2 linked regions of the Ovis aries genome follow. The protein of the gene in region 2 purifies or fractionates together with the protein of the main gene of each other region. This does not show direct contact. Links are inferred from orthologs where the notes say so. Each region holds a gene or a part of one and is shown on either strand. Other genes may lie near its edges.

Region 1 (3,745 bases), on a different chromosome or scaffold from region 2:
AAGACTGCGCATCCGTCTGCACCTGCGGCAGGAACCGACAGGGACCAAGCTCCCTGTTCATCCATCACCCAGCGGACCAGACACTAGCGCATCGGTCCGGGAGTGCCCGGCGGGGCAGCGAACATCCGGCCGGCGACCCCGGACACCGCGGCTTGGGTCTTATCGCCTCGCCAGGACCTTCCTGCCCTTCCCCCGTCCCTTCCCTTCCAGCGCCCAGCCCGGCGCCAGCGGTGGCCAGAGTCCCCGCGCGTCCTCCAACGACCCCAGTCCGCCTCCTCGTCTTGCGGCCAGAGCCACTGTGGGGACGGAGCCCGCGCTTATCCTCGCCAGCAGGCGACGCCCACCGACTAGACGATCCGGAGGCGGGAGGAGAGGCTGGGGAGCCCGGGCCCCGAGAGCCACCCGGGCAGGAACCCTGTGGGAACGGGCGCGCGCCTCGGCGACGGTTCGGGCCCCACAACCGCCAGTGACCCGGTGCCCCACGTGCGGCGCCCCGCACCCCGACCCGGCCTCCTGGGCTTCCCCTGCGGGATGCTCTAGCCCACCTGCCGCGTTCCCGCGACCACGGTGACCCCGCCCACCTACAGTTCCTCCTTGCCCCCCGCACCCTCCCGTCGCCGGGACTCCCCCTCCCAGTCCGCCCACCTCGTGGCCAACACTCGGGCCGTGCTCTCCCTGCGGCCTACCAGGGATGCTCCGCCCACCTGTGGGCTGTCCCCTCCCACCTGCGGGCTGTCCCCTCCCTCCGAGGCGCTTCCGGCTCGTAAAACTCCTCCCAGCTGCGATGCACACCGCACCCCCCAACCATGTGGCTCGCCCTGGAGTGGTCCTTCCTGCCGACCAGGCTCCCCTGCCCCCGGAGCTCCCCTCAATCAGGCGCCCGCAGCCCCGCCCGCGCCCCCGCCCCCGCGTCCCCGCGCCCGCCCCAGGCCGCCCATTGGCGCGCGCCGCGCGGGCGTGGCCGGCGGTTCCCGTGGCGGCGGCGCGGGCGGGGCGCAGTGCCTACTGAGCGCCCTCCAGAGCGCGGTCTCCGGCCTGTTCACGATGGACGACCACGACAGCCCTCAGACCCCCAAGGGCTCCTTCCGAAAGTTCCTGGAGCACCTCTCCGGGGCCGGCAAGGCCATCGGCGTGCTGACCAGCGGCGGGGATGCCCAAGGTGCGCCACCGGGTCCCCGGCCCCGGGCTGGAGGCTCAGGGAGGGGACCAGTGAGAAGGGAGGTGGGGGTGCCAGGGAGAAAGGATGGGGGTGCCGGGGAGAAGGGACGCCAGAGACAGGATGAGGTGTCAGGGAGAAGGGATGGGGGGCCCGAGAGGAGCAAGGAGGAGAGGGGTACCAGGAGTAAGTGACGGTGGGGAGAAACCCGGCGCCCGGGAACCTCGGAGGTGCTTTCCCAGGGCCGGAGCCAGTGCGGCCTCGGAAGGAGTCACTGCGCGACCCGCGTGGAGAGTGCGGGGGTCCCTTACCCGGAAGGTCAGTTTTCCACCTCCACGTTTATTTCCTAAATTACGAGTGGCGACAGGGTCGCCTGGACTCCGTTCGGAGGTCCCTCCGCTTCCGCGAGGCGGGATGAAGCCGGACTCTCCTCCAAGGCTTGGCTACAGCGCGGCCACTTCTGATGCCGCTGCGGCCGCCCTGGCTCCATCCCAGACTCCCCACACCTGGCGTCGCGAGGAAGACCGCTGCGTCCCCGCGACGCGTCTGCAGCCCCACTACCCCCGCGCGGCGCGGGCGGGGTCCCCGCTGCTTTCCCGCGGCGCGCGGCGGCGAACGCACGGGATCCCTGCCCGGGTAGCCGGGCCAACCGGCACCGCCTCGCGTTTCCGCTGGGAGATTTTAAAAACGGTTTTCCGCCGGTCTCATCTCCTGTCTCCTTCCGGCTCGTCACCAAACCAAAAACCGAAGCGGGTCACTAGGCCCTCCCCGCCAGCCTCCCCTGGATGGGAAGGACCAGGAAGCGGGGACTCCGGGGTGTTGCCAGCGCCGGGAGAGCGGTCTCGGGCGCCGCCTTCCACCCGCGAGCCTGGAAGCTGGTCTCGGAGGAAATGGGGCCCCAAGGTTGGGCCCCGCGGACAACCGAAGCAGAGATGACACGACCGCGCCCCTAGCGCCGGGCGCACGTGGGGGCCCGGGGATTCCTGATCCTCGTAGATTCCCGGGTGGGGTGAGCCAACCGCTAGAAAGGAGCGGGGTGCTGCCCATGCGCTCGGAACCTGGAGGACCGCAGGCCAGAGACGCCTCCCGTGCCAGCTTCTGGCGTTTCTTTTACCCGCTTCCTCCTGTCTAGATGAGCTGAAAGGCCCCGATGCCTCGTTCTCACCTCATCTCACCACGCGCGGTGCAGGGATGCTTAAGTGGCTGGCCGGCGCCCTAGCCTCCGCCCACGCTGCTGGTGACCTTCTCTTCGCCCTTGAGAGGGGCGGGCCGGGAGGGGGGTGCTGCAGGTGGGGAGCTGTGGCCGCAGCCCCGCCTGCCCCGCGCGCGTACGTGATGCCGGGCCCGTCGCCGCCCGTGCGCCCCGCGCCCTCGACCCCGGACACCCCGCGCACGGCCGGCTGGAGGCCAGGGGACTCCGGGTCCCTGGAGAGCCCCTCCCTGTCCTGTTGAAGGTGGTGCGCGCCGCATCTGTCACCGCCCCCGCCCCACAAGCCGGCTGAGCCCGAGCAGGCTGGTCTAATTTGGTATTCTAGTAAAGTGGCCCCAGTGAAGAGAGAAAACGTGATACAGCAAAGACTGGGGGCGGGGAAATGGCAGAGTGAAACTGATGACATAGCCCACGTTACTTACCTGCTGTGCTGGATTGGGTCCCAGTCGAGTCGCTGCTGGGCTAAGAGGGGCTTCCCGGTAAATGCGCTTCAAAAAGCACCTGCGTCCCGAGACGTGGGCTACCCAAGTTAGGAAGCATCCTGAGTGACTCTTACCATGGGCTTGGAAAAAGAATAAAATGCTGGCACAGAAAAAGGAACTGGTCTCTTAATCCTCCAGCTTTCAAGGTCAGAGTTGCAAAGTCATTTAGAATTAAGGTGCTGTGTCTGTTCAAAAAAAAAAAAACGTAGGTCATTCACTTGAATCCTTTTCCATAAATTTGCTCAGCTGCCTGGTAGCTGGTGTAAAGGCAATTGAGGTGATGATGCAATAGACAGAATCAGCATTTTCTCGGCTACATACCTGCTACTTATCTCTGTCACTTGTGAGCAGTTATGAATAAGAGGTCAGTAAGTCTACACCTCTTCTCAGTGGAAAAGCATACTTTGAGAATCAGAATTATATGACAAGGTCAGACGGCTTGGTCGGTGTATGGTCAGGTTGATGGGAGTTGTCCTGATGCCCTGAACTGGCTCCTCTGGGTGGTCTCTGCTGGAGAGCCCCCAGTGGCCTGACGTTTGGGCATCTTCCTTGGGGCAGAGCTGAAACTGCTGTCTGTTTCTTCTTGGACTTCATGCCAAGTGCCACCTCCTGTTCGATCCTATCTGGGACCTGAGTGAACAGGGGCATGCATTTCTTTCTGAGAAAGCTCGCCTCGCTATGTGCACCAGGGGGCTGGTCTCTGAGGTAGCGGACTTAAGCTCCTTGAGGAGGTGATTCTTAGAGATGATGTTACTCCCCCGTGCTCTGCCGTTTTGTCTTGACTCTGTATGATATCCATGCTTGATTTTCCCTAAGATAAGAGAGGTTTGCTCGAAGCTAAAGACCAAGGAGAATAACCACAAGTCTTAATTTCAGGATAGTTTTCTACTAAGATGT
Region 2 (3,645 bases):
GAGCTGGAAAAGTGGAAATCTTGAAAGGCATGCTCAGTGCTTCTCAGGTCCCCTGAAAATGAGGTGCTGATGAGGACTGGTGGCCTTAGTGCTATTCTTGCCCAAAGTACAAAACCTCAACCAAATCAGGAGAAAACACTGGCCATCCTACAAATGCCTGACCAGGACTTTTCAAAAGCCATGAAAGATAAGGAAGACAGAGGAACTATCAGGAACAGCAGGGGACCAAGGAGACATGACTGTCCCTTGCAGTGTGGGCTGACCAGAACACGAGAAGTGTTCATGGAAAACTGGCGAGATCCGAGAAAGCCTGCAGTTCAGTTACAGCCACGCTGACGATGCAGGGTGTCACCGTCGGGGCAGCCAGGTGAGGGTGTGGGGGGACTCTCTGTAGTGTCTCTGCAGCACTTCAGTAGCTTTTACTTCAAGAGAAAAGACTCTACAAGGCTTTGGCTGGGGTCCACTTACTGTTGCTTCGTTCTGCCACGTATGATTTCCAGGTTCTCAAACGCATGGAGGTCAGTCCTGTTTTCGGGCCAGGCCTGAATCAGCAAAAACCCTACAAAGCACAAGGAAAGTTCAGACACATACCACTTATAAATTTCTATTTTGTATGAGACATTATTTGGAGAAGGAAATGGCACCCCACTCCAGTATTCTTGCCTGGAAAATCCCATGGACGGAGGACCCTGGAGGCTACAGTCCATGGGGTCACAAAGAGTCAGACACGACTGAGCAGCTAACACACTTAATGGTACACACCTGTTATTTCTTTTACAGTTTTTAGAATGTCCAGTTCTTTCGGGTCCAGAGGTGCAGTACGTGTGAAGGAGTCCCTGAAACAAGTAACAGAGCCGTCAGTAACAACCTGCCGTGAAAAGAGCAGAGTCTATTTTTCTCTGGTATACCAGTAACTGGATCTTTACTTACCCCCTAAATGCTACTGGCAGGATATGAAGATCTCCACTGATGGATGTGCAGTTTCGGAAGTGTTTAATGTTTGTAGCATTTATGGAAAGTGTGTCTTTAAACTCACCGATTCCTATTCCGTTACAAACTGTAAAGAGAGGTGTTTATTCCACTCACATGTATTGAATTAGTAATAGCTGTGGTCCCTCAGGCAGACGGGAGCAGGAAGAGAAGTGCGGCCGTGGGAACCGTCGCCGCCGTGCTATCGTTCATCCACGCAGCAAACACTGGCAGGCTCGCCAGGGACCAGGGGCCATAGCAGGGTGTGAGGTTGCAGTACAGGAGGCGCTGCCTGTCCTCACTGAACTTGCCTTCTCCTCCTCAATTTTCCCCACCTGGCCAGAGTCCAGTTGCCCCGGAGGACTCCAGCTTCCTTCTACACTACAGCTGCCCCCGGGCTGTTGGTACTGCACGGCGATCACCCCCACTAAACCCTCAATGCCTTCCCTTGCCCTCATCTGGGCTGCAGCTTAGATTTCTAATGGAAAGAAACAGTATGCATAAATTTTTTAACTAAAAGAGCAAGATGCATCCACGGAAGAAAACCTTGAAAACACGGAACAAAGAGGAAAAAATGACTAGAAATTCTATTGTGTAACTTTGATATTTTAGAAAATTTCCTTCTAGTTATCCTCCATGGTTATGTCATACCACATATGTAGTTTATTTTTTTTTTTTTTCACTTATTATGCTGCGAACATTGTCCTATCAGTAACATATTGTCCTATCAGTAAAACCATTCACAAGCTTGGCATCACTGATGCGATGGACATGAGTTTGAGTAGGCTCCGGGAGGTGGCGATGGAGGGGGAGGCCTGGTGAGCTGTAGTCTATGGGGTCCCAGAGAGTCGGACAAGACTGAGCGACTGAACTGCAATGAACTGAACTGATATTACATCATAAAGAATACTATAATAAGTCTTATCAGACAAACTGCTTTTCTTCCACAGGGCCTACTGAAGCCACAGGCTTTGATCTCTGTCCTACTGGGACATAAATCTCAGATGCCTTTTTCTGCACTCTGAGCTCATTTATTAATTTACATTCACTCCCTAGTTTCCATCTTAAATGTCATCTCCCTCCGAAGCCCATTTATCTGTGTGGCTCTGCTTCTAGAATTCACAGTGCAATTGTTGGTCTCTCTCTTTCAGACTTTATCTTACTTTGAAGAATCATCATGGAAGAGGTTATTGTTTAGGGTGAGGTCCTCCCCTCCCTTCCCCAGGCCTCACCAGGGACCTGGTAGCCCTGTTACCCCATCTCCTTCTTCTCTGTTCTCTCTGGAGTTCCCACTGCTTGGGCTGCCACCTGGCCATGGGGCCTATCCCATCAGCCCCATGGAACTCCAGGCTTGCTCTGGAATGCATATACCTTGCTGTGGGTCTGGGAACGGGGTGGCGAGGCTTGCTTAGGATTCCAAGGCTCTGGCTGACAACAGAGTGAGGCAGCCTCAGCAAAACAAGCCCCGAGGCAGATCCCTGCTGAGGGGAACTTGCCTTTTAATTACAGGTTTGGAAGAGAATTCTACATGTTTGAGAGAATATTCAGTCTCTCTCTGCTTAGGCGTGATGGTGATGCTGGGGTTACCTTAATTCCTAAATATGGAGACAAACTGTAATTCACCTCTATATCTATCAGATCTGGAGTTGTGGACCATCAACACACATGTTCCCACCTTTGTTTCCCAACATCTCCCTACACAAAGGGATCTCAGTTGGCCACTACTCCAGGATTTGAACTGTGGGTGGGTAGAAAATATAGCATAATGATTATAGGTGAGTCAAAATGTTTGTTAAGCACAGAATTAACAGACCAAAATCAGAAATAATCTGCTTTTATTGATCCATTTGAGGATGCTGATAGCAACCCTCTGTCTTCAGCGGTTGAACTCACTTACTTCCTCTCCGGGTACTACCCTATGTCTCATTTTCTTCCTTGCATGTTTCCTTTGCCTGAAGATTTCCTGGAGCCAAAGGATATTCATTCCCCAGGGCGCTGACACGCCTGCCACACTGGGAGCTCATAGGTCTGACCTCAGACTGAAGCCCTGTGAGCTGTCCCAGCTTATCTCTGCCAATCCTGGCCATTGGTCCCTGGGCAAGTCATTTAGATCCTCTGTGACATAATGCCTCATCCGTAAGGGGGATTGTAATAGCACAGACCTCCTAAAGAGGCTGAGGGACTGGATGACATGGAGCATGGAGGCTCAGTTCGCCCCTGAAAGAATACATGGGTCAGTGGTCAGTGCCCGCTGAAACCACAGAAACTTCTTAGAGGCAGTGGCATCTGAAGCAGATGTTCAAGTAAGCAGCTGTTCACTGAGGCGTTTTTTTATAGCAGTAAAATAGTGGAAACAATCTGAATGACCATATAGATCATGGGACAGGGATTGTGGACAGGGTTAAGCAGAATAAGGAAGAGTCACATGATGCTATCTGGAGTGATCTCCAGGGGATGCTTAGAGTCTAGATGTGTCTTCTGTGCCCAAAGGACCTGGGCACCAGCTGGGAAGGCTCCATGGGCCACATCAGAGTGAATAATGTGAGGAGGGACTATCATAAACTGAATAAAAAAGGGTTCAGTGAGCTCACATGGGTACTAAGAAAGCTATTTTAGAAACAGAATGTCCACTAGTAAATATAAAAGAAATGACAGAAATAGGAAGTCACTCTTACA

Evidence for each region. The genes of interacting proteins can lie anywhere in the genome.
Region 1: the proteins of EGFR (region 2) and PFKP purify together in Homo sapiens (affinity purification with mass spectrometry; 3 studies listed by BioGRID, with this or other methods). This does not show direct contact. The link is inferred for Ovis aries from reciprocal best matches to the Homo sapiens genes EGFR and PFKP.

What each region holds. Positions count from the first base shown.
Region 1 is NC_056066.1:44,748,697-44,752,441, reverse strand, and holds the start of PFKP (ATP-dependent 6-phosphofructokinase, platelet type), read left to right. Parts: upstream 1-997; 5' UTR 998-1,044; coding exon 1,045-1,159; intron 1,160-1,467; exon of another isoform or gene 1,468-2,329; intron 2,330-3,745. UniProt on the Homo sapiens protein: Catalyzes the phosphorylation of D-fructose 6-phosphate to fructose 1,6-bisphosphate by ATP, the first committing step of glycolysis.
Region 2 is NC_056072.1:938,438-942,082, forward strand, and holds part of EGFR (epidermal growth factor receptor), read right to left. Parts: intron 1,058-3,645; coding exon 931-1,057; intron 837-930; coding exon 763-836; intron 560-762; coding exon 469-559; intron 1-468. UniProt on the Homo sapiens protein: Receptor tyrosine kinase binding ligands of the EGF family and activating several signaling cascades to convert extracellular cues into appropriate cellular responses.